4 linked regions of the Sus scrofa genome follow. The protein of the gene in region 2 interacts with the protein of the main gene of each other region in a pairwise test. Links are inferred from orthologs where the notes say so. Each region holds a gene or a part of one and is shown on either strand. Other genes may lie near its edges. The genes, in order: WWP1, ATN1, LENG8 and WWP2.

Region 1 (3,361 bases), on a different chromosome or scaffold from region 2:
AGGCAGAAAAGGATATTCTAGAACACAGGAGAGCCATAAGAGCATGGTCATAGAACAGATAAGTATGTTTAGAACTTTAAATAAGCTGATGGGGGTGCTATTCCAAACAGCATAGGCTTTTTTAAACTGGCGTGTTTTCTTAAAGTACCCCAGGCCGTGATAAAAGGCTAGATAGGTTGTGAAGAATTTTTTTTTTTAAATGGATGAAGGATCAGCACACAGGAAATTCTGATAAGAGATGATGGGAAAATACATACAGAGGAGATACTGGTAGCAGTAGTAATGATCAGGAGGGAAAAGATAGCAGAGATTTAGTAGATAGAATGACAGACTGACAAAGGCAGTGACTGTCGGTATGGGGACTAAGATGTTCTGAAAAGAACATCATTTTAATTGGCTGCCTTGGTTCAAAAGGCTCTTTCTTGATTCTTACATAGGAGTAGAGGGCAAGGGCAAGTAGGAACTGGTAAGAGTGGTAGAAGGGAACTGAATGATCTATAGACACCTTCCACATGAGAAAATAAAAGTACTAAAAGGTTTTCACTTCTCGGAGCTGTTCTCATTAGGCAGAAGTGGGGACAGGACTAACCGCTGTGGTGCAGTGGGTTAAGAATCCGACTGCAGTGGCTCAGGTCATGGTGGAGGCGCAGGTGTGATCCCTGGCCCGACACAGTGGGTTAAAGGATCTGGAGATCCTGCACCTGAGGCTTGGATTCAATCCTTAGCCTAGGAACTTCCATATACTGCCGGTATGGCCATATTGTGGGGACCAAAACCCTGGACTCTAGAATCTCATCCAGCTACTCAGTGCTAAATCTTTAAAAAGTGTTATTCCACACCTTAGTAAATTGTAAAACAATACATTGACATCTTAAGCATTTTTAATATTTTCTGTATTTCATCAGTTAATCCCAACAGGGAACTCTTTGAGTCTGGCAAGACTGTAAGCATATTGTTTTAGAAGTGATTATACATATGATGGGATTATTGGAAAGGAAAATGTATGTATTTGGTTATTGACGGTCTCCATCCTAGAAAGTAAGTTTGATGAGGACAATGACTAGTTTTTCATCACTGTATCATTAGCTCCTGGAAAAATAACTGGTACATAAAAAATTTTCAATAAATAACTGATGAATGAGTTAGTGGGTGAGTGAGTGAAAGACAGACTCTTTAACCCAAGAAAAGTTAGGGAGACTTATGATACAGTGTAACAATAATAGTATTAAAAAGAAGAATTAGTTATTTAAAAATTCCAGTGTTTTTATACGTATTGCTATAATTATTTGTAATTCTAGTTTTCTCTGGGAAACATTAAAATTTTATGGCTAGGTCTTAAATTTGAATAGACTGCTATAAGAAAGTCTGTACATTTAATATTACAATCATTAAGTAAATTGTTAGAATACTTCTAGCAAGATTTTGACATTCTTCCTCTATCCATTTAGTTTTTCAAATGTGCTTTAAAAAATATTGTGTTAGAAATCTTTTCAGTTTGTTTTATTGAAAACGTCTGATTTTGTTTTTGTTTTTGTTCAGTTTTAATCGCTTGGATCTACCACCATATAAGAGTTATGAACAACTAAAGGAAAAACTTCTTTTTGCAATAGAAGAGACAGAGGGATTTGGACAAGAATGAATATGGCTTCTTGTCTTGGAGGAGCTCTTGCATTTAAATACCCCAGCCAAGAAAAATTGCACAGATAGTGTATATAAGCTGTTCATTATGTACAGTGAATTTTCTGAACCTCTCAAAGTATAAATGTTTTCCGTTCTTCCACAGAAATATGCAAAACAGCTCATCCTTTTCTACTTTATTTATTGTTCCCTTGAAGTGACTGACCAGGAAAAAGATCATCCTTAAATTTTCAAGCAAACAAGAGACTTTATTAAAAATAATAAGTATATATCTATATAAGCATTTATGATAGTGGCTCTAGTTTTATAGAGCTCTGAGTGTATTAACATGACAGCCATTCATTCAAAAATAATCTGGATTTGTTTTACCTTGTTTCTGTTATCCAGGGAAAGTACAAATTGCTCCATGTTTTTTCTCCCTTTTGTAACATCTCCTGAAGGTGTTTAGTTGCATGGCTGTTCAGGAAGGTATTAAGGGCTTAGGCCAAATCTTACTTTGAATATGTTAAAAATGCTGCTGGCTTTTTGAAAGACAGGTGCTTGAACCTGTCAATTTGTTTTAAATAAATATAATAGTTGAAAAATTTCCCTCTTTGCTACATCACTAATACTGTTAAATTCATGAATGAAACCATAACTTAAATGAAAGTCGTGTACTAACTAGATCCATTACATTTAGTTTATTCTAGAAATTAGAATTCATTGAGCAGCATAGAGGTTTGTTTACATGTTACTTTGGGATGCTAGGTATTTGTGGGATTAAAGAGAATCAGGCACTTCTGTACTTTAGTTTTAAAATTTGTAATGTTCTTTAAATTCATAATAAATTGATGCAATTTGATACTTAGGAACATATGAAAAGGTAATGTGAACTTTTCTGCTTTTGTGTTCAAAGTTTTGGTTTTATAAAGCCAGATGGATTGAAGACTTAAATAAGCATTCAAACACTCAAATAAGTCTAATGATTCTCTGTTACTGTTTGAATATCTTCATTCCTCTTAAAATCACAAAAATTCTGTGTATCTGAATAAGTATAAAAAAATATTTTGCCCCCGCCCTTTTTACATAGATTATTTTGTCCTAAATAAATAACACTTTGTTTTTCACTATCAAGGGCATTTGCTGAACTGCAAAGATGTATAACAAATTAAAATCTGATGTGAATGATATTAATGCTACTTTAACAAGCTGGGCTTCCTTAATATAAAAATTTAAATTTACATTTGTATCATGATTTCAGTATGCACTGTAAATTTCAATAACTTAGAAATTGTTTTATAACCATGAGAGTGACGTCTTAGAATGTTATCTGTAACATTTCACTAAGTACATACAGAAAATACTAGTATACAGTTTAATTTCCCTAAAAAATAGTTTTTATTTCGCCAAAGTTTTATTTTTCTACATATTATTTTAGATTGTGTTTTGCATTTTTATTCAAAACGCATAGTAAAAATGAAATAAAGTCAGTGATCCACTTGGGTTGAATAACTCCTTTCCCAAATTCTGATTACTGACATTCTAATTATTTTCAAGCCTAAAGAATTGAAAACAAAACAAACTAATGTATAGGGCAGACTATGCAATAGAGGTGACCAGTCTTCAAAAGGGCTACTTATTATACCATGAAAGAACCACTGCTGGATGAATTTTGCCATGACAGAAGTTACCATCATTCAGTAATGTGAGAACACCATGTAGCAGATTTGACTGAAGACAAGAA
Region 2 (4,296 bases):
CTAGCTTACATTTCCTCCTAATCTTCTTTACACCCCCCTCCACTTTGGCCCCATTCTGTCCACCCTGTCTTGCCCACAGACACCCTTCTCCACTCTTTTGGAACCCCCCACCCCCAGAACCCAGCCGTCCCTGTCCCCCACTTTCTCTTCCCACCCAGAACCCAGTCCTCCTCGAATATGCACCTGGCCCCACCTCCTTCATCCTTTCTTAAGGTTCTTCTAGCTTTGCTTTCTCTTTCCCCATGACATCACTAGGTTTGTCATTCCCCCAACTTCTTACCTTCCCCATCCCTTTGTCAACACCAGTCACCCCCAAACTCTTCACTCTCCTCCAGAAATCCCGTTCTCCTGTATATGTCTCCATCTTTTCAATATCTTCCCCTCCTTATGACCCCCAAACTTCCAGCCCCTTTGCACGATTGCCTCCCAAACCTTTCCTGCTACGCTAGGTGTCTGCCAGACACTATCACCCCAAGCTTCTTTCACCTCCCCTGTCACACATCTCATTGTCCCCAGGAAGCTCTGTCTCGCCCCAACCTAACCCCATTACCCCATCTCTGCTACATACCCACAACCTCCCCCCTTGCCTCTGCCACACAGCCCTGGGCCCCCAAACTTCTCCAGCCTCCCCCATCTCTGCCCCTACAACCCACGGCTCCTCCTACCCAGCCCGCTCCCGCGCCAGGCCCGCGGGCTCCCCGCATTCCGCCACGGCGAACCCCTCCCCGCGCCCCGGCCCCCTCGGCCTCGGTCTTGGCCAACTCGCGCGGCGCCTCCCCCTTTCCGATCCCCCTCTCCGCCCCTCCTCGCCGCTCGCCTCGCGCTCCCTCCCTCGCGGCTCCCTCCCTGCCCCTCTCTCCTCCGTTCCTCCGCGCTCCCTCCTTCTCCCTCTTCCTCCCTTCTCCCATCCCCCTCTCCCAGGCTCCCTCCCTTCGCCGTCCGCTTTCCTGTGCGAGTCGCCGGACGCGCCGCCCAGCCCGCCCGCCCGCAGCCCCGCGTCGGGCCGGGGCCTCGGGCCGGGACCCGTTTCAGGGGGACCGCCGGCCTCAGGGAGGAGCCAGGAGGGGGCGAGGGAGAAGACCGCCCGGGAAGGGGCGGGGGCCGCGGGCGGAGGCCGCCTAGGGGGCCGGGGATCGCGCAAGTGCGGGCTGCGCGGGGCGGGCGCGGGCGGCTGGCGGGAGGCAGCGGGTCGGAGCCGCGCGGAGGGCCGGCCTGGCCGCGGGGGCGGACGGGCGGCGCGGCCCGGACGTTCTGGGCAGCCGGGGTAGGCGGCGGGCCTGGGGAGGGGCAGAACTAGAGCGGGGACTGGGATTTGCTTCGGGGGCCGGCGGGCGATCGGGGCCAGGTGGGGGAAGAGGGAAGATGGGGGCCGCCCTCCGGGGGGGTCGGGGCCGCCGCCGCCGCCGTCGCGGCGGCGACTGAAGCCGGAAAGAGAGGGGGGCGGGGGAGCGGCCGCCGCCGCCCCCAGAGGCGCCGGAGCCCCAAATCCCGTTCGGAGCCAGCCAGCCGTCCCGAGCTACAAACAGGTAAGATCTGCTGCCGCCCGGGCCTTGCGCTCGCCCGGGTTCTGGCCCGCGGCTCCCCACCCCCACCCCTCCCAGTTCCCCCTCCTGCCGCCGCCGCCGCCGCCGCCTCCATTTGTTATTTTTCCCCGATCTGGTCCCCTACTGCGGGCCCTGGCTGGCCTGAGACTGGGGGCTCAGGGGGTGGGGCCGGCCCCGGAGGAGGGATGGGGGCCTGGACGCCCGGAGGATCAGGAAGGTGGGGGGAGGTGGGAGAGTCACAGGAGGAGGGCTGGTGGGGCGGGAGTGTGGCCAGAATCCCGGGACCTAAAGAGGAACCCCCGAGGTGGAGGGTTGGCGCAGGAAAACCGGGATGCCCGTCAGGGGGGCCTCGGGGCGAAGGCAAAAAGGAATGGAGAGATGGCAACGAGGTGGGGCAGGAGGACTCCAGGAAAAGCCTCAAAGGCCCAGAACCCGGTTTCAGATCCTGGGGTTCGGGGTGCTAGGTATAGAAGGGAGGTGGGAAATGGGGAAGGGGTGTGGTAGGTGGAAAGAGAGGGATTGTAGCTGATGAGGGAGGAGAATGGAACTGAGGGGGGCTCAGAGATGGCCGAGGAGAGGGCCACCCTTGAAAAGAAGGGGAGGTGCTCCCGAGTGGAAGTGGGAAGGCGATGCCTTTGTGACTCAATTTTCTTTCCTCTACTCCAGGTCACCTCTGACCTTGTTTTTGCAATCCCAGACATAGGTGCTTCTTGGAGAGGGGCACGCTAGGGCCTGGTAGTGTGGGTCCTCCCGCAACTGATGAGGAAGATGCGAACACTGAAGGGAGAGTTTAGGGAGGAAGGGTTTCCGGGAGGGTGGAAAAAGAGGGGAGCATTTGGGCAATCTTACAGGCACACCAAACAAGTCGTGACCCCCACCCTCAAACCCCCAGAACACCCCTGCGCCTCTAGCTGTGGTTTCCTTAAGCGGTGGGTGGATCTTCATTAGTGTTTTGTGCTCCGAGATTTCCCTTTGTGCGTAGACTTTTTTTCTGCCGGGGTAGGTACTCTTAAGCTCCCTTCCCTGAGGGTGCTGTAGGAGGACAGGAGTTGCTTTGGCAACTGGAGGGGGAGTGACTGGTAGATGGACCCCTGGGACAGACTCTTGAGGGGCAAGTTCTGCCTCTTCGTTGCCATGGCAGTGACCCAGTGGGATGTCCAATAGATGGGGGTTCTGCATCTCCACTGGGCCTTTCAGCCTCTGGCTATGTCCTTGGGACGCTCGGCTGGATTCTGAAGGATGTTTCGGGTGCTGCTGGTGGAGAGGAGTTTCCCCAAGGGTCCACCGTGTCCACCCAGCAGTCTTTGGAACAGGTAGACATGTTACTTGCAGGTGGTAGTTGTTTCTCCAGGTCCCTCCCCTTAGGCATGGTGGGAGGATGGGAATGCTCCTGTTCCAAGTTATACCATCTTTTGGCAGTTCTTGCTGGCCTCTATCTCCCTTGTTATTAGGAAGTTTTTGGATGGTCTTGTTGCTTCTTTGCACAGATATTCTTCCATTTTCTTCACCTTGAGTCTTCCTGCCCAAGTATCCCTTTTCCTCTGTCCCAGACTCTTCCCCACAGTAACGCCTTCGCTCATCTGACCTCCAACCTTCCGTTTCTCTGAACTTGTAGGGATGGCTGGGCTCTCCACGCGCCTCCCAGGTGAGGGTCCCCCAGGGGAGAGGGCTGTAAAACAGCCTGGTGCAGTGGAAATATTCCAGAACAGGAGCCTGGAGACCTGGGTCTAGTCCTGGCTGTACCTACTAACTGTGACCTTGGGCAAGTCACTTCCCTTTGAGCCTTGGCTTCATTGTCCGATGAAGGGGTTGTAGATAAGATGATATCTGAGGCCCCGCTGACAACTGTAGATTCTAAGGCTTAGGCCAATGCCTTGTTATCTGCTGGCCTGGGCTACATTGTTATCTAGGAGTTACTTTGGACTGGTTTGTTAGTCTGGCAGGTTTGGAATGATGGTGGGGGCTGGGCCAGTGGTCTTGAAATTTACCCTGCAAGCCCATCCTGGAAATCCTTGTGCCTTGGATATAATGCAGTCTTTCTGATATCTTCCTCATATTGCTCCCTTAATTTCTTTTCCTGTTCTTACTTTGAGACTATTTCCCTATCTTTGGTGCCTAGGCTTAGTGTTTTGCAGATACATAGTAGGTGCTTTATAAATCAGAGAAGGAATCTGAGCTACTCTTAGCGCAGCTTGTTGGTGCTGAAATATGCTCCAGGTTCAGGAAGGTCCGTGCAACCCAACCCTACCTCTTTCTCGCTCCTGCCACTCCTTATCCCCAGGGTCACCTACCTTTTATGAGTGCTTTTCTCCTTCAGAGCTCCTCATTGCTAATTTTATCAGATTCCAGCTGATTAAAAAAGTTAGGGTGGGGGCGGGGGCACACCAGGCTTTCTCTGTTCTTCAAGAACATTTTGCTGCTTTCCTCTGGCCTTTTGGATCCCATAACTCTCACCGACAGTGAACAAGTTCTGGGATAGGAAGGAGGGATGAGCACCTGCCTTTAGACGAGCTGGCAGAGACACATGAGGCACAGTTTTTTCTGTTGTACTTTTGTTGGGATTATTTTCCCCTTTGGTTATGTTGGGTTTTGTTCTTTAGGGTTTTGGAGGGTTGACGATATTTGAAAACCAATGTACCGAACAGCTCAATACTGTGGTAAATAGTTGTAGTGGAAGAGAAATGACCTGTTTACGGGGCTCTAAGTTCAGAAGACCTGAGGCTCTGTCCCAGCTCTTTTGTGACTCTTAAGT
Region 3 (3,562 bases), on a different chromosome or scaffold from region 2:
CATCCCATCCCTCTGAGGCAAAAAATAAAAATGTAGAAAACATCTCTGTACAGACTCCCCGGTGGGAAAACGGGGGCAGGGGTGGTGGCTCGTCCTGGAGCCCAATCCCCACAAATTAATTTACAACCCAAGTCCATGGCTCAAAAACAAAATGTGCCAAGGCGGTGCTGGGGGGCTGCAGCCCTGCCCCCCGCCCCCGTCGGCGCTGGTGCTCAGAAGGCTGACAGCTGCGCCAGGCTGAGGCGGCAGTCGATGCTGGAGTTGTCCGGGCCCGTGTAGGCCAGGCCTAGGGGCTCTAGGAAGGCCCGGCAGGCGGCCTCGCCCTCGAAGGCCAGCTCGGCCTGCAGGTAGGAGACTGGCAGCGCAGGGCGGAAGCTACGGAGACAAGAGGAGAATGCGATGAGGCGGGCGGCGGACTGGGGAGCGCCCCACGAGCAGGGAGTGGGTGCCCCCCCATTCAGGTACCCAAAAGGTTTCCTCAGCACGTTACCTGCTGACCCCACCACCAGCCCACAGCCTCCCCACCTCGGGCTCGGGGGGGCCCGGGGTGGGGTTGGGAGCCCCAGCCCCGGCTGCGCCCCCCCTCGCCCTCACTTACCTGTGCAGGGGTGGGGGGACCGGGAGGAGGGACTAGGAGGGAAGGGCCCCGCCAGCTCTTCTGCTGGCTGGGGCCTGGGCAGACCCTCAGAAGAAGGCCCACTGTGACCGAGGGGCAGGGGACAGGCACGGGGCGGCAGGGCTGACGGCTACCCTGGGGGACCTGGCTGGTCGGAGGCCCAGCCGGCGCCGGGAATGAGCTCTTCCAGGTGCCGCAGCATGAACTCCCTCCCCACCTCCCTAAGCTGTGCGGTCCTACCTTTACAGACCCGAGAACAAAGCCACTTGGCCAGTGTCGCCTGGGCAGTAACTGGCAGAAAGTATTTGAACCAGTCTTGCCTCAAGCCTAAAAACACTGTTGCCACCCTGGATGTCCCTCCCGGGGGGGCATAGGAGAGGCTGCAGCCCACCCTGCACCCCCAACTCCGAAGCTGGCCCAGGCCCAACCGGCTCTGCCCAGGAGAAGTGGCACCACCTTCAGTGGCGGGAGGAAGAAGAACACAAGGCCAAGGGCGTGAAAAACAAGGAGAAATGGTAACCTGTCCGCTATGGCCCCGGGAGCAGCACTCGGGGCAGCCAGGGTCCCCTCCTGGGTCCTCGGCTGGAAAGCAGGTCCCATACACCCTACCCCCTGTTTGTGCCCCACTCCTTCCCCTCCACTGCCTGGGCCCCACTCTCCCTTCAACATTCAAGGCCCCTGGGGGAGGCCAGGCGCACCCGGGCTGTGACGCGGGACGCTGTGTGCTGCCATCACCTTACCCCGGGGCGCCTCCCTCCCACCATAACAGTGAGCCCACCCCTTGTGGTGAACGGAGGGCACCCTGCTGAGTGCTGTCCGGGCCTAGCTTGCCCCACGTCACGCCTGCTCTCGGAGGAGCTCAAGGGGACCGGGTCCTTGACCCTCTGACCACAGCTGCCGAGGGTAGGGCCAGCTCTGCTGGTTGTCCCCAGAGAGCAGGGCCCAGTGACCGGAGAGGAAAGCGGGAGGGGAGGCCGGAGCAAGGAGACAACTGGGGTCCAGGTGATGCGAGCAGGGGGACCCACGAGCCCTGAGCGAGAGAGTGACGGAGGGAGGGACACAGAGGAGGGCGGTGTGCAGAAGAGCAGGAGGCCTGGCGAGAACGGCAGAGTGTGGGAAGGTGACCCGGGGAGCGAGACCGGGGAGGGGAGCTGGAGGCCTGGTGACCCCTGAGGGCAGAGCAGGGGAGAGAGGGAGGGGGAACGAGGGCGGCGGCTGCCGCAGAGCAGAGGGACAGCAGGGAAGCTCGGCTTCACATACGTTTTGATCATAGCCTTGAGGGCAGCCTTGCGCTCCCGGTCTGCAAACTTGTCCACGAGGTAGCCAGACATACAGGGCGCGTGGGAGTAGAGCCGGAAGAAGCGGTGGTAGTTGCCCAGAGCCCAGGCGGCCCGGAGTGCCAAGGCGTGGGCCACACAAGGGTCCGCTTTCAGTTCCCGCGTCAGGTAGGCCAGCTCCGTGGTGATGTCTGCGGCCACAACAAGGCGGGGGTCAGCCGGGCCGGACTCGGGGGGCCTGTGGCCGCCTGACCTGCCGGACTGTGCCTCTCACCTCCTGAGTTCTTGGTGAAGATGTAGTAGAGGATGCGGTAGGCAGTGAACTCGCCCACGTTGCCCGGCAAGTTCTCGGCGTACAGGGACTTGAGCTGCGTCTGGCACTGGTTGAACTCTTCGTGGTCTCCCTGTGGGCGGGCGAGGGGGGGAGCAGTGGGGTGAGGGGGAACGGGGCGAGGGGGGAAGCAGCGTGGTGGTGGGGTGGGGGGCGAGGGGGGAGCAGAGCAGCACGAGGCCAGCAGGGCGGGGGAGCCGGGCCGCGCCAGCCCACTCACCTTCTCCAAGGCGATGCGGGCATGTGTCTCGTACACCTCCACCGTGAACTCAGTTCGCACACCTTGCACCTGAGGGCAGGCCAGCGGCCGTCACAACCGAGCGGGGGGCGGGGGGGGGACGGGGGGGAATCCACCGAGCGGCCTCCGGCCCCTCCCGGCACCCGCCTCACCGTCAGGTCCTGCCGGATGGACTTCATCTGCTCACAGGCAAAGGCGTAGTCCTGCTTCTCCTTCCAGTGGGACTTGACCATGCACAGCGACTTCTTCAAAACCTGGAAGCAGGTGAACACAGGCTCTGTGTGACTTTGCCACAAGGACAAGGACCTGCTCCAGTTCCTTCCATGCACTCGTTCTAAGAGGAGGGCTGCGACATCAAACCTGATGCTCACAAGAACCCAGAACAGACGCATCAACAGCCCCAGGCCTTGGTCTCCACGTCAACACGTGGCCGTGTGTGGGCCTGGGGACGCCGGGCGTGCATGTTCCAGGGTCTCACAGGCCCTGGCCTGGGAAAGTGACATCGCCCTCCCCACCTTGTTCGCAGGAGGAAGGCTCAGAGGCCAGCCAAGCCTCCCGAGAGGGCCACATGCCCTCGCCGTGGCTCCAAAGCCTGAGTCCTGGGGTCCAGTTCCCCTCGAGTCCCTGTCAGCCACAGCCCCCCACACCCCGCACAGAGCTTGGGGTCTCCCCCAGGCCGGCCTGCCTGCACCTCCTCCGCCTCTGCTGACCTCGCTGGGCCCCAGCCTGCCTGCCAGGGGGCACTTACGGACACGGGGCGCACAGTGGACGGGTCTGGGGCGCAGGTGAGACGCAGGTAGTGCTTGGTGATGTCAGGGCAGGTGCCCACGATCTGCAGCTCCTGCCAGTCGGGGTCGGCCCCGCTGTTCTCCAGGCTGCCCATCTGCAGCACCAGGGGCTCCAGGCGCAGGCGGCGGGAATGGCCGTGCTGGAAGCGCGCCGCCCGCTTCTGCTTCTTCAGCTCGCGCTCAGGGTCCTCGCACTCCAGGGCCGCCATCTTCTTGCGGCTGCGCTTGGTGGGCGCTAGATCATGCCTGGGGAGGGACGAGGGGTCCTGGGCTGGGGGAGGTGGCACAGCGCCCGCCAGCCTCAGCCCCCGG
Region 4 (4,126 bases), on a different chromosome or scaffold from region 2:
GTTGGAGATGAGGTGAGAGAAATAAAGAAGTTTGAATAGGTTTATAGATGGGATTCATATAGGAATTACGGTATTCAGAAAGGCTGTAGCTCCTTGAAAGGCCATCTCCTGGATGGATCTGGAGTGGAAATAGGAAAAGCAGAGACTAAGTGCTCAACCAATTTAATTTGTATGCATAATAGGATCACTCTGAACGGGAAGACCCAAAAATAACAGAATAATCAGTGCACAGTGCTTAAAGCTAATTAAGTGATTAGTCTTCATTTTAGTTTGTGGTGATGAAGAGTGAAAAATTGAGCCTTCCTTCAACTTGTCAAAACTGAATTCCCTACCATCAGTAAAGTATATTGATTAATTTTTTTTTCTAATTCATAAAGTGCTATTGACTCTTTATATTAAGGAAATAGGGGTTCGATTGGTGTGGTGGGCATTTTACCAACCCCAGCAAGGGTTCTGGAGTCTTTTTACTTTTGCTTTATGTCACAAGAACAGATGCTCCGGAGTTCCCATCGTGGCTCAGTGGTTAATGAATCCGACTAGGAACCAGGAGGTTGTGGGTTCGATCCCTGGCCTTGCTCAGTCGGCTGAGGATCTGGCATTGAGGATCTGGCGTTGCCCTGAGCTGTGGTGTAGGTTGCAGACGCGGCTCGGATCCCGCGTTGCTGTGGCTCTGGCGTAGGCCGGCGGCTACAGCTCCGATTAGACCCCTAGCCTGGGAACCTCCATATGCCGTGGAAGCGGGCCAAGAAATGGCAAAAAGACAAAACAAAACAAAACAGATGCTCCACAAAAGTTACTTTTGTGTGTTTCTAGAATCTAGAACCCTGCCTGGCACATAGTAGGCTTAAGGTTGTCAGGTATAGCAAATTAAAACCCAATTTGCCCAATTAAATATGAGCATCAACCACAAATAGTTTTTTAGTATAAACATGTACCAGGCAGTATTTGGGGCACACCTACATATTACATATTTTTTATCTTAAGTTCATATTTAACTGGGTGCCCTGTATTTTATCTGGTGACCCTAGGATATTTTAAGTCAGTAAATTAACCGCTGACTTAATTGACTGAAAGCCTCCTTTCACCTGTGAAATGGGGCTGACAGAGACGCCCCTGGGCTCGATGGGAGGAGTAAATGAAGCTCCTGGCACTCACCGAGCCCTCAATTTACTTGATTGCTCGGGTACCATCTGACGAGGGGAAAACCCTCCCATTTTTAAACATACAAAGGATAAGAAGGCTTTCTGGCTAAAGGTTCCCAGGCCTGGCCTAGGTTGCCCACACCTGCAGGTACGGCCAGCCTCTTCCGGGTCAGGTGACCACGCGTGGTCACGTGACCTGGCCCGAGTGCGGGCGGTCGAAGGCGGAAGTGGGAGAGGAGTTGGGCTCCGCTTCTGTGGTCCCGTCAGGTAGCGAGCGCCGGCGCGGGGCAGCGCGGCGGGCAGGCTGGCGGGGGCGCGGGGCTGGCCTGGGGCAGCGGGCAGCGGGCAGCGCGGGGTGGGCCAGGGGCGGCGCGGCCCGGGCGCCGGGGGGCGGTGGCTTCCTGTGGGAGGGGCCTGGCGCGGCGGTTCCGGCCTCCGAGGAGGGGTGTCCCGGCTCCCGCCCGAGCGGGGTGGGCGCGCTGCGGGCGGTGCGGGGGCAACTCCGAGGTGGGCGCCAAGGCACGCATAAGTGCGGTGGCCAGCAAGTCCTCCTGGAAGGGACAAGCATCTTAGGTGCCAGGGATGAAGAGGAGTGACCTTTGTGGCGGGATCGGGACAGGAGGAAGGGGCAACTTGGGACTGAGCTAGAATGGGTCGCCTGAGAATTGGCGAACGACGTGGAAGGAAAAATCAGGAGGAAGATGCTGCCTGAACCGCGCTTGAGCGCCTCTTCCTTCCTTCCTCTTTGGCAATGATTGGTACCCGAGACTTTGATTTTGGTCCCATTCAGTTTCTAAACTTCAGGAGGGATCAGAGAATCTTGATCATTTTGCTTTCGTCACGCCCACTTAGTCCTGCTTGGGTAGGGTTTCTACTTCTTGAGAACCTAGCCTTTCAGATCATGTTTCTTTGAAATTTCCACAGATCAGATCAACTTCTGGGCTTAAGAAAAGAGCGTGGGCACTTTGCTCTGGCTGTAAAATGGCTTTTAGCTTAAACTGTTGAGCACGGTCCAATCCCAGCATTACCTCACCTAACAGCGACTGCAGTAACCTTGGCCGGTATCTACCTACCCTGCTTTATGACTTTTTCTTTCTTGAGTTTAAATTATTCAGTTTCCTTTGCCATGTGACTGCTTATCTTGACAAACTGTAACTAGCTAGCATGACTGGAAGGTCTGTGTTGTGTTCCATAGAACTGTGACCTGGATCATGATTTTGAGATTAAATACCTGTGTTAAGGCTGTTCACCCGCTTTTTCTTGTGTTTACTAACATTTGCAAAAGTGGAATGCATTTCATGGATGTGATGTAATAGAAGTGAATGTTCAAACTGGACAGTCCCAGGAGCTGGAGTTGTTTTGGGTTACAAGTAGGAAAAAAAAAAAAAGTACCTTGCTAATGTGTTTTGAGTTCAAGTTTTTAGAATGTTTGACAAACATTTAAAAATTGATTTCTGTGACAGCCCTGGGAGTTAGATTAGGAAGATGTTTATTCTCATTTCACAGTGAACAAACAGATCTCAGAAGACTGGATTTTGTTGACAATTTTTTTGTGTTTTCTTGTCTGCTGTTCTCTTTCTTTCTGATAGACTGCAAATTCCTCAAAGGGCGGGGTTTATATCTTATTTGGCTTATTTGGCAACTAGCCTGGAGCCAGGTGTGCTATGGGCACTTGGTAAGTTTTTGGTGAATAAATGAATTTCTAAAGGTCACAGACCTGTAAGTGGAGAAGAGATTTGAATCTGAGTCCTGCCTCTTCTTCTTGGTAAATGAGCTTGCCATTTTGTTGTTTGGTCTATAAGAAAATGATAGGTGTGGGGTTGGGTTGGCTTGGGTTGGCTTCTCAATCTCTTATTTAGTGACTACTTTCCCATAGTAAAAAAAGCTTATGGGAGTTCCCTGGTGGCTCAGCAGATTAAGGATCTGGCATTGTTACTGCTATGGCTGGAGTCACTGCTGTGACATGGGTTTGATCCCTGGCCCTCAAACTTCCACATCCACCTCCCCCCCCAAAAAAAGAAAAAAAGAGCTTATTCAGTCTTCATTATGATCCTCTGAAGGTTGAAATTGTCCCTATTCTGCAGTTGAAGAAACTGAGGCTTAGTGAAGTCCTTGTTTGAGAATCTAGAAGTCGTGAATGACTGAGCAGGGACTCATGCCCAGGCCTTTTATCCTTGGACCTATTCTTTTCCATTTTTAGATTCAATGTAAAGTTTCAAAAAAATGTTTTTTTCAAGTGTGCAAAGGATGACATTTTAAGGGGAAAATAGTATAGGTTATAGCAATAATTGTGAATATGGAGTGTAACTAAAGTTTAGAAAATCCTATGCTATACCATAGCTGCCTCTTTATTTTTTCATTTGGTGGCTATTTATAAGCACGAACTCTTTGCCAGGCATTGTTCTAGGGTTTTCATTGTTCAGATCCGTAGTCACTAGACACATGGGGCTGCCGAGTACAGGAGATAGGCTATGACTATACAATACATGCCAGATTTTGGAAGACTTAGTACAGAAAGATAAAGGTAAAATTTCTCATTAATTTTTAAAAAGATTATACTAAATGACCTTATAAATGTAATGTACTTATATGCTATAAATGGTAGCATTAAAGTTTATTGTCCTAAGTACAATAGAATTGAAATTTCCTTTGTTTAGTTTTTATTTTTATTTATTTATTTATTTTTTTGTCTTTTTGCCATTTCTCGGGCCGCTCTCGCGGCATATGGAGGTTCCCAGGCTAGGGGTCCAATCGGAGCTGTAGCCACCGGCCTACACCAGAGCCACAGCAACGCAGGATCCGAGCCGCGTCTGCAGCCTACACCACAGCTCACGGCAACGCCGGATCATTAACCCACTGAGCAAGGGCAGGGACCGGATCATTAACCCACTGAGCAAGGGCATGGTTCCTAGTCGGATTCGTTAACCACTGTGCCACGACAGGAACTCCCCCCCCCCTTTTTTTTTTTGAGTTTAGTTTTTAAA

What was found.
Region 1: the proteins of ATN1 (region 2) and WWP1 interact in a two-hybrid assay, tested with the Homo sapiens proteins (2 studies listed by BioGRID and IntAct). The link is inferred for Sus scrofa from reciprocal best matches to the Homo sapiens genes ATN1 and WWP1.
Region 3: the proteins of ATN1 (region 2) and LENG8 interact in a two-hybrid assay, tested with the Homo sapiens proteins (2 studies listed by BioGRID and IntAct). The link is inferred for Sus scrofa from reciprocal best matches to the Homo sapiens genes ATN1 and LENG8.
Region 4: the proteins of ATN1 (region 2) and WWP2 interact in a two-hybrid assay, tested with the Homo sapiens proteins (2 studies listed by BioGRID and IntAct). The link is inferred for Sus scrofa from reciprocal best matches to the Homo sapiens genes ATN1 and WWP2.

Annotation. Positions count from the first base shown.
Region 1 is NC_010446.5:50,387,597-50,390,957, reverse strand, and holds the end of WWP1 (NEDD4-like E3 ubiquitin-protein ligase WWP1), read left to right. Parts: intron 1-1,539; coding exon 1,540-1,639; 3' UTR 1,640-2,811; downstream 2,812-3,361. UniProt on the Homo sapiens protein: E3 ubiquitin-protein ligase which accepts ubiquitin from an E2 ubiquitin-conjugating enzyme in the form of a thioester and then directly transfers the ubiquitin to targeted substrates.
Region 2 is NC_010447.5:63,792,606-63,796,901, reverse strand, and holds the start of ATN1 (atrophin-1), read left to right. Parts: upstream 1-1,516; 5' UTR 1,517-1,526; intron 1,527-1,668; coding exon of another isoform or gene 1,669-1,829; intron 1,830-2,870; coding exon of another isoform or gene 2,871-2,913; intron 2,914-4,296. Other genes in the region: uncharacterized protein LOC110260590, read right to left, coding at 662-1,516, 1,669-1,829, 2,871-2,913. UniProt on the Homo sapiens protein: Transcriptional corepressor. Recruits NR2E1 to repress transcription. Promotes vascular smooth cell (VSMC) migration and orientation. Corepressor of MTG8 transcriptional repression.
Region 3 is NC_010448.4:58,861,086-58,864,647, forward strand, and holds part of LENG8 (leukocyte receptor cluster member 8), read right to left. Parts: intron 3,497-3,562; coding exon 3,211-3,496; intron 2,717-3,210; coding exon 2,615-2,716; intron 2,514-2,614; coding exon 2,445-2,513; intron 2,298-2,444; coding exon 2,168-2,297; intron 2,085-2,167; coding exon 1,348-2,084; 3' UTR 376-1,347; coding exon of another isoform or gene 213-375; 3' UTR 1-212.
Region 4 is NC_010448.4:17,225,122-17,229,247, reverse strand, and holds the start of WWP2 (NEDD4-like E3 ubiquitin-protein ligase WWP2), read left to right. Parts: upstream 1-1,265; 5' UTR 1,266-1,409; intron 1,410-1,556; exon of another isoform or gene 1,557-1,900; intron 1,901-4,126. UniProt on the Homo sapiens protein: E3 ubiquitin-protein ligase which accepts ubiquitin from an E2 ubiquitin-conjugating enzyme in the form of a thioester and then directly transfers the ubiquitin to targeted substrates.